Linked DNA regions of Caenorhabditis elegans. The protein of the gene in region 1 interacts with the protein of each later gene in a pairwise test. Each region holds a gene or a part of one and is shown on either strand. Other genes may lie near its edges.

Evidence for each region. Proteins that work in one complex are often made in the same cells at the same time.
Region 2: the proteins of ddo-3 (region 1) and ifbp-1 interact in a two-hybrid assay, tested with the Caenorhabditis elegans proteins (one large-scale study listed by BioGRID).
Region 3: the proteins of ddo-3 (region 1) and rrc-1 interact in a two-hybrid assay, tested with the Caenorhabditis elegans proteins (one large-scale study listed by BioGRID).

What each region holds. Positions count from the first base shown.
Region 1 is NC_003281.10:6,586,217-6,590,562, forward strand, and holds ddo-3 (D-aspartate oxidase 3), read left to right. Parts: upstream 1-1,647; 5' UTR 1,648-1,680; coding exon 1,681-1,723; intron 1,724-1,767; coding exon 1,768-1,868; intron 1,869-1,913; coding exon 1,914-2,524; intron 2,525-2,572; coding exon 2,573-2,693; intron 2,694-2,736; coding exon 2,737-2,838; intron 2,839-2,883; coding exon 2,884-3,057; 3' UTR 3,058-3,182; downstream 3,183-4,346. Other genes in the region: acr-21 (AcetylCholine Receptor), read left to right, coding at 1-76, 229-333; F20H11.1 (Differentially expressed in FDCP 8 homolog), read right to left, coding at 3,264-3,342, 3,390-3,562, 3,613-3,843. UniProt on the Caenorhabditis elegans protein: Selectively catalyzes the oxidative deamination of acidic amino acids. Plays a role in the egg-laying events and maturation processes of the reproductive organs.
Region 2 is NC_003283.11:13,369,421-13,375,243, forward strand, and holds ifbp-1 (Interferon regulatory factor 2-binding protein 1 & 2 zinc finger domain-containing protein), read right to left. Parts: upstream 3,601-5,823; 5' UTR 3,479-3,600; coding exon 3,147-3,478; intron 2,809-3,146; coding exon 2,571-2,808; intron 2,522-2,570; coding exon 2,305-2,521; intron 1,950-2,304; coding exon 1,528-1,949; intron 1,433-1,527; coding exon 1,352-1,432; intron 1,217-1,351; coding exon 1,133-1,216; 3' UTR 675-1,132; downstream 1-674. Other genes in the region: srx-125 (7TM GPCR serpentine receptor class x (Srx) domain-containing protein), read left to right, coding at 257-387, 441-570.
Region 3 is NC_003284.9:9,828,115-9,833,371, forward strand, and holds the start of rrc-1 (GTPase-activating protein rrc-1), read right to left. Parts: upstream 3,175-5,257; 5' UTR 3,097-3,174; coding exon 3,026-3,096; intron 2,190-3,025; exon of another isoform or gene 2,041-2,189; coding exon of another isoform or gene 2,021-2,040; intron 1,638-2,020; exon of another isoform or gene 1,553-1,637; intron 1,122-1,552; coding exon 972-1,121; intron 737-971; coding exon 607-736; intron 558-606; coding exon 474-557; intron 1-473. UniProt on the Caenorhabditis elegans protein: Functions as a GTPase-activating protein (GAP) for ced-10/rac-1 and CDC42.

The DNA.
Region 1 (4,346 bases):
CGGAATTATTGAAAGAAATGAAATGAGAGTTGCTGAAAAGGATAAACGAGATGCAATTGCTCTCGAATGGCAACAGGTACATTTTTTATAGTTGAGGCGTGTTTTACGATTGGAAAAGCTTCAAAATAAATACATAACAGTTTAGATTTTCGTATTAAAAAAAGATACTCAAACTTTCCGATTCTTGCATTTGTCAACTATATATGATTTATAAAATATAATTTTTAGGTTGCAATGGTGCTCGATCGCTTCCTGCTTGTGGTGTTTCTCATAGGCACATCAATGTCGACATTTGTAATATTGAATCAGCGAAATCTTTTTGAATCTACATAATGACGGGTTAATCAATAAATTCATTTGTATATCTCCCAAACAATATCCAACTGAAAGTAGTTTTAGCTGGTGCTACTGAGCAATTTGAAAAATCGTTCCGAAAAAAGAAGGAAAACCTAGTGATTCAAATTTTGCAGTTGGAAATGATAATCATTTCCATTTTCAATTTTAAAATGATGATCTTTCTAGAAAATTTGAAATATTAATTTGATCGTATGCATTCATTTAGAATTGAATTTTTTAAGAAATAATTTTTACCAAAATTGAAATTGACAGTGTATATTGAAAAGGAAGTAATGAAGAATCATGTCATGAAAGAAGTTCACAAGAGTTCCTGCGAAATCAAGCAGCAGCTAACGCCTTATTTAGTTTGTGGCAGATCTCCGAAACGTCTCGGCAATTCACCAACTTCCCACCAACTAGCAATGATTTACCTAATTTATCCAACTTAAATTGATTGGCATAGCACATAGCAAAAGTCACTAAAGTAGCCCCCCCCCCCCCTCAATAGTTGAGGCATTTTGCCGAGGTCATACCAATTATGAAGTTCCGAACACCAGAAAGAGGTAATGAAACCAAAAGTCGTGATTTTATTTGATATGCTCTCTAGCATAAAAATAATACATTTTGCAGTGCCTACATAATTAAACGGCTCTACATATGTGTTGCATTTATTGAAGCATCTTATATTAGGTCGGCAAATAATTATTGACGTATGTTGCCATTTTACGATTTTTTGTAAATTTTATATATGTGAGTTATAGTAGGCAGTGAGCATATGAAAGCATATGAAGTTCATCTACTTTGGTCATCTGCGTAGTATTAAGATTTGAAAAAATCGAAAATTTAAAAAAAAATTTTTCCGTGATTTTTTGAGTTAGCCGTTAAAAACTTGAATACTCAGAGTTCGCTTTGTCTTTATTTTGTGCTTATGAAATTATCTTAATCTTTTCCTTCTAAAAGGCAACCTCATGACCTCATGTGTTTCATGTTTTTTCAATAAATTCCGATTTTGACACTCCCAAAGTCCATCTACTCTAATTCGATTAAATGGTGATGACAAAGAAACGAAAAGGGAACACTTTTTCATACGTTTCCCTAGATTCACTGAACATTTTGCTTTCCCCTACAGAACTTGAAAGTTTAGCCAACAGATTTCAAAAGATCAAATTTTCGTAAAAATGTGCTTTTTGTGCTCCTCATGATCAGATTCCGTTACTTTTTGATTTAAAACTGAAATCTAAGTGCATTCCTATCCCACGGATTTCCACAGCTCCTCCTCTTTCTTTTTTTCAATACAATTTGATCATTTTTATCTTTATACATACATATTTAATCGCAGGTGGTATGCTGTATGCTCTTCTTCTCCTCTTTGGAGGAGTTTCAACAGGTTTGATAATGTTCAGACTTTTTCAGTTATCCTTTTATTTTCAGTGAGCTCGTTACGAGTTGCTGTTGTTGGAGAAGGCGTCATTGGTTTGAGCACAGCTACAGCAATTCTTGATTTGGCAGAAAAGAGGAACATTCCCGCTCCAGTAAGTTAAATTTGAAAGTCACAGGTGTTCAAAGTTGTGTTTCAGGAAATCCACATTTTCCATCACAAACCTTTTGAAAAAATTCTCAGTCGCCACATCGCTGGTCTCTTCCGAATCGATAGTGGATCAGAGATCGATAGAAAATATGGTTACGATACATTTGAAAAGTTGGCAACTCTCTGGAGAGAATACGGTGGTCTAAGTGGTGTACAACTAGTCTCTGGGCACATATTATCAGATTCCAAGACAAAGTTGGATTCACAACGTGAATCGTATGGAAGCCTCGTGTACAACTACCGGGATCTCGCCGAGCCGGAGCTTTTCGGTCCAACGTCGCTTTTTGATCTACCAAGAAACACGACAACTCGTGGAATTCATTACACTGCTTACACGTCTGAAGGTCTTCGCTTTTGCCCATTTTTGAAAAAAGAATTAATGACAAAAGGAGTTCGATTCACTCAACGGAGAATTGGAAACTTAGAGGAACTTGGTGCAGAATTTGATGTTGTTGTTAATTCAGCTGGACTTCTTGGTGGAGTTCTAGCAGGTGATGATGCAGGGAACATGAAGCCAATTCGTGGAGTGCTCATCCGAGTTGATGCACCATGGCAGAAACATTTCCTCTACAGAGACTTTTCTACAATTACAATTCCGGTGTAAGCTTTGCTTTTCTTATTGTTTTTCAAATTTTTAAGATCTTTCAGTATCGACCATGTCTACATGGGAACTGTGAAACAAGAAGGAGCATTTGGGCCAAACAATGTGACATCTGCAGATATCCAGGATATCACTAGCCGTTATGTGGCATTGCAACCATCTTTCAAGGTGGGTTAAATATTACAAATTAGAAGCTAGAAAATAATTCCAGCGTGTTCACATGCTTTCATCATTCGTTGGATATCGTCCAGGTCGCAAGCAAGTTCGTGTCGAGAAGCAGATTCGAGAGACCAACGGATCCAAGAAGTTTACGGTAATGAAGATTTTGATGCATCTAAAATTCTGATATTCCTTCCAGGTCGTCCATAACTACGGTCATAGTGGAAACGGATTCACACTTGGATACGGTAGTGCAGTTCATGCCGCCCATATCGTTCTCGATTTGCCACTGGATGCTTATCACGGACTTGTCCCAGAACCTCTTCCCATTAATGCAACGATTTCCGAATGGGTTAAATATCTTGATGATTAGGGTAATGGCACTTGTAATTGAAAGTCATAAACAATTTATTCTAATTTTGAATGTTGTCTGTTTATCTTTAGGAAAAAAGTCCAAACACAAATGTTCAAGTTAACAATAAAAATATTTTATTTTATTTTACAGTATTAGACAATATTTAAGGCACTCAATTATTACAATAGTAGGGGAATGTGGTTTTTAAATGGAATTTTTTGAAATTAATTTCTCACTGCTTCCTTCTCATCACTTGAACTCAATGTTTTCGGGATCTCAGTTCGTTTTCGACGTCGTTCACATCTGCAAATATACCAAATTCAAAACTGGTCTACTGTGGATTACTGTACCTTGGACAATTTAAACTTTTCCTTTCGAAGCATTTCTTATGGTAGACTGCAAGACACGTGGCACATGACCGTGTATTTTCAGTAAATGGATATAGGATTTTATTTTTCTGATCTACGTTGATGTCGTCGCAAAGTTCGCAGAAGAATCCATTTCCAGCACAAGTCTCACATTCCTTAATTTTTAAAATTAAAATTTCAATAATAATCTCCAAAAACCAAACACCTCTTCAATATGCTTTCTAAAAACTGTATGGATCTGTTCCAAATCGGGTAACAACGTGCCATCGCACAGCTCACGGAGTTCTTTCGGTGAATACATGACAGAGTTATCGACAAAATGTGAGTGAGCATTGAGGTACTGTAGGATTCGGAGACGTCTTGCCGTACGGCAACTAACAAAGTAACACTTCATCAGAAGAAAGTTTCGACGCAGTTCGTTTACTCGGCGTAGTTCCTGAAAACTGTCAGTTGAAAATGTATATTTCTTCAATTTTATTTGCTGTGGGCAAATATCTGTCACTTGGCACAGCCAATGTTTTAACTGCAACTTCGCGTCATGGCGCCGTTCGGGGGTATAGCTCAGTGGTAGAGCGCTCCCTTAGCATGGGACACAGGTGATTCGCGAGTACGAGTTTTATGCTTCATCCGAGGTTCGCGCGTGCTTCGAATGGGTACTTGAAAACATGAGCAAAAATGGAGAAAAATGCTCGTCTTTGCGAACGAACGCGAGCATAAAGGAGGCATTGCGAAAACAATTTATGCTTCTTTTTTTTCACTTATATCAGCTGAAAAAGTTCAAAATATAACTTCAGTTCTTGTATAAGCCACCCCCACTACCCGAAGACATGATTAAGCCACCTCAAGACATTTTCGCAAACACGAGCATTGTGTGCGTCGAAGCATTTTGCTTACACTGCGAATCACCTGTGGGAGAGGGTTGGGGTTCAATTCCCCATA
Region 2 (5,823 bases), on another chromosome or scaffold:
TTGACCGCAATAGTCGAAATCGGCTTAGTACAAACATTATTTTGAAACTTTGAATTCATAGAAGTAGTTCAAAATTTCGTCACACTTCTCTGCTTTGCTTGTTTCATGACACGATTTTCTGCAAATTGATGAAATTTGTGAACTCTTGACCGTTGTTATCTTTATCAACTTTTGTTTATTCTCGAGAACAAATACATAAACAATTTTCATCTTCACATGAATACTTTTACCGGAATCTCCTTTTTCCATATTTCAGAGTGTGCTGCAAGACACACTTCACTTGATCGACATGATCAATTGCACAATACTCTTCAAACTCAATTCAGCAATTTGGTATCAGTTCATTTTTCTGTCCGTCAGTTTTCTATCGATTCATGCGCTGGACGGGTGAGTGGACGTTGGTCGAACGTGTTGATAAGAGTTTCCGGAAACATTTACAGAAGCGTCATGCTATATTTCCATACTGAGATACATCCGCAATGGTGTCGCAGATTGTTGAAGCCCAAATCGAGGACTGGAACTATTTTTGTGAACAGATCTAAAATATCTTCCTTCCATCCTTCTGATTAATTCTAATCATTCGAAGTTTTGTAGAATTTATACCGAGTTTTCACATTGAATTCTTGGAATTCGTGAGAGAATATGTGAAAATTTGCAATTTCTCAAACTATATCTTAAGTTTTCTGATCAAAGCTTTATTCAATTAATGAAAAAATAAACTGAAAGCTTTGGTGGGATTGTTGTTTTTTGATTTGTTTGGCAGTTGAATTTTCAATGTTCCAGGGGAGAATGGACTGGGGATAAGGTACGAACATTACAAAGTTTTTGGACTGAAAAAAGAAAAGAAACCGTAAATCCCAAAAGCAGTGAAAAGCGTAATCGAGGAAAAGGGAAATGAGAAAGGAAAAAAATCTCAAGATTTATTACCAAATGTCCCTTGAAATCACACCGTAGTTGGGACCGAAGAGAGAGAGAGAGAAAGAAAACTTGGAAAGGGGGAAAAAGTAGAGATCGTGGTGAAGCAGACAAAAGCATTGAGTGCAGCTTTGAACGGTTTCAGTGGGACTGAGAAAAAAGAGAGATTGAAAGAAAAAATATTTGTGCCTAATGTGCTCCGTGACGTCACAGGTTATCAGTTTTGTGGTGACGTGGCGGCAGATGTGGAAGAAGCCGCAGAAGTTGTTGTGGAGGCTGGAGATGTTTGATTGGCGCCGTTCTGAAAATTAATTCATTCAGAAAATGAAAAAAATCAGTTTAAATAATAGATGTTAGGGGCATGCAACATATTTATTTGAATCCGATAATCAATTTTTTGCATGCTAGTCAATGTCATATGTTAGTAATCACTTACACATGAGGTAGAAGTGTTAATTGTGGATCGTGTAAGAGTGCGATGAGGGTGGGCTCTTTGAGCATTTTGTCTCCGTCTCAACTGAAAACCATGCAAAATGCGGGTGATTTAGTTCCAAACATAAATAACAAAATTGGACAAACAAATTAGTTTCACACAATCTGATAAGGGCATACCTGTGCAGCTGCCGCGGCTGCCGCGGCGAGAGTCGCTGCGTTGGCACCCATCGGTGGAGCAAGACCGTGAGCTTCTCGGGTTCTCTTGAACTCGTCATACTCGTCACCGAGGATTTGTGCAATTTCTCCTTGCATGAATGCCCATGGCATTGCTGATCCGACTAATGGACATTTATCGCCTGATGGGCAGTACATATCACTGCTCTTGCATTGATCCTTGATGCTGCTCCGCGAGCATGGGAAGCAAAACTTGTGAATGCTGACTGTTGGGCATTGTACAAAGTGGGTGTCTTCTAGACGTTCATTGCACAGTGTACATCTCAAAACTCTCTCAATTGGGGCGATCCCTCTCCGATCCTTAACTCCCGGATGGTCTGGTGAATGAGTTGAGGTTGGCGAGGCAGTTGTCGTTTGGGCATCGCCTGAAAAATAGAAGATGATGATGATGAGGGGGTGATGACCCTGGGTGCCAGGCGCCGACAACGACGCCACAACCAACTACACTACCATCCTCTAAAACCGGTTCCGTTTTCAAAGTGTTGACCCCATATCTAGCCCTTTATTTCTCTCGAGGTCACTCATTCAACTCGCTACTCTTTTCTTCTAATTCTTCTAAATTCGGCTGGTTTTCTGTCGGGTCTATCGGTATTACGCAATTCGAGAGGGTGACAGAGAGACGATACACGGGCTAATCGGAGAGAGAGAAGGGGGCACTACTACTTTACGCAACAACCGGTTTTTTGGGACGATGTCAATTTTAAATTCTAACTGACATACCTCTCTGCACTTTTCCATATATTTCAGGCTTCTGCTCTTCGTCAGATTCACGTTTTCTTGGATTTGAATAAGTTGTGCTTGGAAGCATGCTCATCATGAATGGAGCCAAGAGATGAGAATTTGGGCCCAAGCTTCGAAGAGACTGTTGAATAAGATCGTCAACCGCCCGAGGATTGGCTTGTGTCATTTGCAGAAGTCGTTGATGGGTCAGAACTTGCTGAAAATAAATTTGTAAACTATTGCAGTTTTCAATTTTATATGTTTACCTCCAAGTTGTTCATAGTTGGCACATGGAATGGGGACGTGGGAAGTACCGTTGGCTGAGGTGTCCTTTGTGGGCTTATCCTTCCGATTCCATTAGCAGAAGTGACTGGTAATGTTTGAAGGGGTTGTTGTTGTGTAAGTGTAATATCTCGGAGGGATGTCTTTGCATTCTGTGGATCACTGATTCCAACTCCTTGGAGTTTCTTTTGTTGGCGTGTTTCTTCAAGTACGAGTTCAATTCTGAAACAGAAAAAGATATTTGGTGACAAAAAACAAAAAAAGTTCAATTGGTCTTGAAACCTTTTTAAAACTATAAGATCGTGAAGTCCTGCAATTTATAAAAAATTTCGGCAGAAAAATCGTCAAAAAAATATGTTCTTTTTCTAATTTTTTTCAAAAAAAAAATTCTTTAAAAACTTTAGGAAATCTATTACAGAACAAACTTTTAGCTTGCAGTCTTATAAGAAAAAGGGTGTCAAATTTTCATGTCCTGTATCAATATAAGAAAACTTGTGACTTTCACTTTGGAAAATTTTAAAATCGAAAGGAATTTTCATCATCATTATTTCCAAACAAACCTGTCTGATCCTTCATAATTGACGCATCCTCTGCAAACTGGCTCAATATAATCATTTATGATTGCCCACGGCCAGCGTGGCAAATCACACAGGTAACATTGTTGTCTTGGTAATTTCTCATTTGAATTATTATTCGCCTTCATTCCAGCAGTTGTTGCAGTTAGAAGTGAAGCAGAACCGTTGACAGAGGCCAATGAGACGGCGTTCGGAGCCGCGAGCATCTGGAGTGATAGAGAATAATCGACAGTATTATTGTTGTTAATTATAGAAGGTGTTGGAGAAAGAGACATCGATGCCTGCAGAAGAGCAGCCGACTCAGCGAACGAGCCCATTTCCACGAGAGGAATGATTGCAAGAATGATGGGGTAGAGGAATAGGAATGGCGCGTTTCAAGTTCGTGATGGAAGAGAGGGAGAAATTCTAGAGATAAGAAAGATTCCTGACCGAGACGAATAGGGTCGAGAGGTGAAAAAACTAGGCATGGTTTTTTAGTGATAAAAGAAGAAAAGCCGGCAGCTGATAACAGAACGCTGATGCTCTGGTTGCACACAAACAGGGTTGTTCCATGACTTGGTAAACTATTAGGGTAATCGAATATTTTTTTGTATTATTTCAAATAAACAATGGAAAATATCAAAACCATGAGCATGCGTGGGTCCGAACTATTACAGCGATGTGTAACACTTTTTTTGGATGACGAAGAACTCTATGAATAATCGACGAATAGAAGGAGACAGTAAGGGGCGAAGCACTGAGTGACGCATTGAGCACATTGTATTACTATAGTTGTGTACAAAGAATTGGCAAAGAAAAGCTGCAGGAGAAAAAATAAAAAGAAAAAGAGGTGGGTTCCGAGTCTTCGACCTCTCCTCATTCATATTCCACAAGACGTATGGATAGTGCATATCATTAGCATCGGATCTGCATCTTAATAAAGGAATTGGAATGGAAGAAGGCAACTCAAAATTGGCTCCGAAAATGCAAAAATGAGGAGACTCCCTCTGTTTTTGAGACCTTCAAATGTTTTGTTGGGGGAATAACTATTATCAAAAGTGATCAAAATTTCTGACTTATCACAGTTGCACAAAACATCAATTTGCTCAATTTTCAGATCAACATGTTCCTGTTTCTAGATTTTAGATGTTTTGTTATTTGTTATCAGTTCTAGATTTTCCTAGACGCTATAATGGCTAATTGTCAACAAGGCTTGAAAGGTCACTAAACCCCTCCTTATTGGAGAAAAACCCTTCCCAACAACTGATAAGCGGTACGAAGACCAAAGTAGAGGTGTGTGATTTCATTTTGAAAAGATAGAAACACAAGTGAAAGTCGAATTGGCGAGTCATGAGAATAAGTGAGAGAAACCTTCCGATAAGGCCATCCATAGATGTGCTAGGCCGACCAATATTTATTTGGAGCATAGTTCATTGATACTGAAAGCTCAAGAAAAACTATATGAAAGAAATATGGAGATTAGATCTCTCTCTGTGACATGGTGCACCACGTTGCACAATGGGGAAGAAAACGTGGATGTTTGGATGAAAGGAAAATGAAGAGAAATGGGAAGAAATGCAAATTTCATGTTGGCACAATAGATATGCAAAATAAATGGGGGGAAGAAGAATTCTCGATAAGTGCCTTTAACTGAAAAAAAAGATGATTCAGAAAGAATTATCATATTGTTTTAGAAAATTATGGATCTAAAAATGTAGAATAAACAATGTGTAATTGCACTACTGATATTTTGAACAAAAAACCTAAACCAAGATAATTTTGTAAACAACTTTGTTTCAACTCGGGGCTTTGAGCAGAGCATTTGCACATTTACTTTTTTTCAAGCTTGAGAAGGTGCTGTTAAACTATTCATGATTTTAAGCTGATAGGACTTTTCATCAGTATCCAAACAAAAAGAGCCGATCTTCCCACATTCGTATTTATAACTTTTAGCAGGAGTTTAAAATTCAAAAACGGGGTGCAAAGCGAAGTGACGGTCAGAAAACAAGAACAATAAAGAGGGTAGAGAAAGAAAAAAACACAAAAAATAGAAAAAAAAGAGATTGAAATGGTGACCTAGTATTCAGTATCCCAAGGAGAAGGACTACTACAGAAACTGATTGAAGGTCTTTTCTCTCTCTCTCTCTCCCTCTCTCTCTCTCCCTCTCTCTCTCCCTCCCTCTCTCCCTCAGAAAAGAACGGGCGAGGAAAAATGGGATGAAAGACGCAGACGCGCAGAGGTCAACCCTGTCGGGAGCGGAAGGATGATCGCCGCTCGCGGAAGGAAAAACGAGGATTGACCTTGGTGGTATGACCAAGAGGAATTGTGCGGAAAAAAGGTTCGTTACCAGGTAAGTAGGTAGAACAAATAGAATAGGTCTGGATAACTTTTTTCAAACTAACAGTGCATAGAATAAAATAGAAACTCTTTTTTCTATCTCTGTGGTGCGTCTTGTTTTAGATTTCCAACTTTTCTTGGCTCTGCCAATATTGACTTGGTAATCAGACAGAGTTGAAAACCTAAAGGAGAATTAGAGAAATTTAGTAAGTTATTCTTGGCGCCTGTGAGAGTTTTAATAGAGTTTAAGTTTGCGCCGACGAGCTCCGCAATGTATGCACAAGGGTGCATGTGTGCGGTTCATTTCTCAAACTCTTGAACCTGGGAAAGCATGATCTGGATTTT
Region 3 (5,257 bases), on another chromosome or scaffold:
CTGACTGAAACAAATGCAAAAAGAATGAAAAAAAAACTTGTTTGACGAAGTCCTGATACTAATGCATAATGTAGGTGTGCATTACATTGTACATATGTTTTGCAATAAAAACAAACACAGAAATGAAATATGCACTGCAGTTAAGAGCGAGTGGTGTCAAAATCATAAGAAGAACAAGATATTTTTTCAAGGTTGTACTAGAACTCACCAATTTTGTGAGAAAGGTTCAAATAATTGAATAACTCTTTGAAATACAGACTTACTATTCTGTCAGAAAGGAAAACAAATTTTCCTATCTGAAATGTTTGCAATACTTGAAATGAAATATTTATCGTCTTGGGTTCATTTGGTTTATTCGAATCTTTTTTAATTTAACTTTTCTAATTTGAAGAGATACTGTAAAAAGTCTAAACCATAGCCAGTTTTAAATTTAAATTAAATTGAAGTTTGGAGTTAAAAACAATTTCGCTTACTTCTAAAAATTTCAGAACAGGATAGCACGTTATAATGCTGCCAGTGAGTTCCGATAATCGCTCCGTATACTTGACAAGAACTTCCTGTAAACATCAAATGTGATGACTAGTGATTTTGAAAAGAAGCCGTCACCTCGAACTTTGCCGTTTCCAGATGAATAAGAGGAAACAGCTCGTCAAGTCGTGAATGCCTTCGTTCGAACACACAACGATGCAGCTGTCTGTCGAAGACTGCCCAATCCTCCCGAGAACGTTCGACAAGCCTGAATGAATCAATGATGGAAAACCTTTCAAGTTTCCGTTTTTCTTTCTTTTTTCTTTTTTGTTCTTCCTCGTACTAACTTTATTCAGCCTTTATTCTCATCTCCCATGAGACTTCACTCGTGGCTTTTTTGTTTGATTTCTGTGTGGCAGAACATTGAAAGAAAAACCGAGAGAAACACCACGGAGCACGAATTTTTGAAGACAAATTGGAAACAGAAGGAATGACCAACTCACCATGAATTTGATTCACTTTCCACACGCATTTTTATCCGCTCTGTTGCATTCTCGTCAGCGTTTATTGCGATGATGGCAACACGGACGGGACCCAATTCAACAGACGAATAATGGAAGTGTTGACAGTCGACTAGTCGTTGAATGCGAAGACTGAAACACAATAAATTGTTGATATTCAACGAAATAAACAGTGAAGTAGTATATGAATTATTTCCAGCTAGCAAAATTTGCTTCTTTCAAAAATTTTTCAACTCACAAAGTTGATACTAAAACATTAATATTCCAATTAAAATGTTTGTGGTGAAGAAATGTAAAGATATTTTCTTGAAAGAACGCCGCAACATATCTACCAACCTTATCAGCTTTAGGAATGCATTTAGTGAAAAACTGGCTAAAGTTGGGTAAAATAAATTAAAGTTGGGGATGCGCTGAAAACTTTGCACTGAAAATGTTTCTATAGTGGCCTAAACTTGGTTAAAAAGGGCTGAAGTAGTTACAATTATTTAATGTACAGTTCGAATTATTTTTCTTTTAATGGTTATTCTTTGGTAAAACTTGATTTAATAGTAAAAAAAGGATATTGCCCCGGGCGGGATTCGAACCCGCGACTGGTTTAACCCAATGAGATCATAAGTCTCACGCCTTCGACCGCTCGGCCACCGGGGCACTGATTCTGAAAAATGTGCATCTCGTTGAAAACTGCTTGAATTGCTAAAATTGGTGGATAATTTGATGCGAATTGCCGAACGCCTGCCATTCTTGTTGTAACGGTAAAAAAAATAAATTTTTGATATCAATATTTTTCAAAAACTCACAGTACTCGATGTTGCACTGTAACCAATAGTAAATTTTTTATGTACAACAATACACTTCATTATTTTTCCAATTTTATTGCACTGTTTTATCTGGGCAACCGATAAACACAAAAACCACCTTTTTCTAAATTCACCTAACTAAATTTTTTGCAAATAAATGGATATAATGAGGGAGACCGTAAGTGAATTTTTTGATTTATAAACATTCTACTACAAATTCAACATATTTTGTACCCTGGTATTTCTGGATCCATCTTTGCAAGTAGTCAGTGAATAGATAAAGTCCAAAATAAAGTCATTCAATCAATTACATGAAATATTGAGATGGAATAGATAGGAGCCGAGAGGTCTCTCCTCAAGGTTCTGTTGGTGAGTGTGTAATCCCACGCTCACTACATCGTACGCTAGCTGCACTCGCCGGTCGTGGCGGTAGACAAGCGGATAAGCGATGAAACATTCAATTTTGATTGGGATGAAAGGGGAGAAAGAGATGGACCAGAGAGTGATTGCAGAAAAATCAAATTGCAAAATGTGGGCCACTGGTTAGATTTATGGAAGGACATTTATCAAAAGGTTGTTGGAAGCAATTCAATGTTTCGAAACGTTTTTAGTAAAACTGGAGAATTTTAGACCTTTCACATAGTTATTTTTCAAGAACAAAAATACAAGACAGGTCTGTATTGCAACTCTTAGAATTGCTTCAAGACGTCTTGGTAAAAATATTTATTTTAAGCAGATTGTAGAATCAGTTGTAGCACGAAGAAAAAACAAACCAAACTGTTACTCTTCTTTTAACAATTTCTTATGCATATGATGTGAATTGTTGTTTTTACAGTAAAATTGAAGTTGTCTACATAAAATTAAATTTATGTTTCAAATATACTTTGAAAAAAAGTTCCACAACAGAAGGGAAATTACGTTACACGATGGCCCACAATTATAGGCCACCCTGCATCATTAACACGGTGCTTAAAAAATTATTATACTTTTTTTGAAAGCTTTTGAAACAAGTTGGATGAATCTAAATGTCGGGTTTCGCCCGTTTTTCTCTTAATTCTTTTCCGATTAGCTCAAATGGTTAATTCCAGACCTCAAATCTTTATTCAAAATATCTTTTGCGCAAGCAAAGATAAGTATTTTGAAAACGAAATGTTAAATTTGAGTGCATTAGGATTCTGGCAAACCTAAATCATTAAATTTTTTAAAGTTTGAAAATCTAAAAAATTTCGAAAAATCTACCTTCTTCCGTTTCTGCGTGCAAATGGGCTTTTGGGAGATAAAGGTGCAAATGATTCCTCGATGCCTTCCATTTTTTACATCACTTTAAATGAATACGTTGCTTTTCAAATGTTTTTACCAGTTTTTGTTGTCCTCGTTATCCTTCCTGAAAATGGCAACCGGAAGTCATGAGAATAAAAGGTAAACGTGTGGTGTTTGAGGAAAAATACATGTTATAAACACACGCTTTGCTTATAGATCGGTTCGATTATTTACATGCAAACATCATGTCAATTTGTGTTGGCAAATGAGAAGTGACGGCTTTTAGTTAGGAAAGCGGGACGAAAAGGGGGCAATCAGGAAAATCAGTTAAATTGTCGTGTGACTGAAGGAGTAAATATGGGTTCTGTTTGGAAGTTGTCAAAAATTGAGCAATGACATAGGAAGGCAGGCGTTGTTAGGAGCCAACAACCAAGAATCTTCAGACATGTGTTAAAAAATCATGTGGCCAGAAACATCTTGTTCGAGAGTTTTAGGATAAAACTGAAGATTATGATTAAGATTTTAGATATATATGTACCTCGTTTCGTGATATTTGAAGATAAACGTTGTGAGGAAGTGAGTTTCTGATGTTGTAACTTTTAAGTGGAAACTCTATTTTTGAAATTAAAAAAAGAAGGTTTTGAAGCCATACACTCAAATTTAATATGGTTCCAGAGCAAAATTTATCTGGATTATTAGAAATTTATCATAAAATTTAAAAAGGGTCGTATAATTCTACACAAAAAACCAAAACTAAAAATAAAATAAAGCAATTTATATTTTATATTATATTCTTTATGCTTCTAAACTTTTGATTAAATATACACAAATTTCACATAATTTTCTCGGAAAATGTGTTGTTTTTTAGAACACATACAATTAACGTTTATCACTCGACTGGGTAGAACAAAAAACGCAAAAAGAAAAAAAGCTCAGGTTGGTTCCAAAAATTCATCAACACTTGTGACACCTAGCAAAAAAGATAACCAAGCTCTTCAGGGGCAGCAGCCAACACGGATCCGTGCCGGGTTTCCGGTTTTCTAACGCAGTGGACAGCTGCTGTTGTTAAGGAGGAGAGAAAGTACAAGCCATTTGAAACCAAATTCTAGGCACAACAGGTGTCAGGATTTTCATGGATGGTTAAGGATGAGAAAGAACTGGTTGAACGATTGATGCTAATCAGTATGATTTTGAGTCAAAAATGATAAAACGAAGGGTTATTAGTGTGTTATATTTCCGGACGCTTCATCTTCTTCATCTTCAAAGTTTCGGTCTAAAGATAAAGAAGATAGCAACGGGTCCCGAGTTTCTCTCTTCGTCTCATCAACCAATCTCCGTCGTCTTGTCTCTACGTATCACAATTCTGGCGAAGCACACACACACACATACGTTCTTCTTTTTCTACCCCTATGCTCTTTAGCTGCTGCTCTTCTGTGGAGCACTCGATACAAATCTACCACCTGACACTATCACCGCATTGGGTGAGACGGGCTTGCTGGTTCAAATGTTCTTGCAGACAAAAATGACCGTCATATGCTCTAGCTTCTTTTTTTTCAACTACTCTTTGGTAATTTAAGAAATATGGATACCTAAAGTTGATCTGACAATTAAAATGTATTTGTGCAAAAGGGAAAACAAATTGTTAGTAATATTATGAGCTGTAACTTGTAAATAACCTTACTAGAACATATTATATAGTGCCAGAACAATTGTAGAAAGAATTACCGTGTTTCCTGAATCAATCTTGCTTGTAAGACAAATTTTGGATTGACCCGTAGAGGTGAAAGACTAATAAAGACTGCAACACTATTAGAGGCTGCAAAACTAATAGAAAAAATACGGAACTCATTTTTTGACAAAAAATACAACAAAGTTCGAAAAATGTGTTATGACAAAAAAGTTACCAACATACCAAATGTTAAGTATTTGTGAAGTCTGGGTTGAAAAAAAAGCTCAAAAAAGCAAAAGTTTGGCATGTATATACAATAGACAACTGGGACTTTTCAGGTAGTAATTATAAGAAACCACAAATCATCAAATTTTTTGTAGGAAATTCCAAGAAAAATTCAGGTTTCATCAAATTGAAAATGAAAATTGAATGACCTTATTTCAACATCTAGCTTTCAACACTTGATGTTATCGTCTTACACGTCTTCGCAAGTGACACTTTTTCTTGAGACAATCGTCGTTTGATCCCAATTATTTATTAAA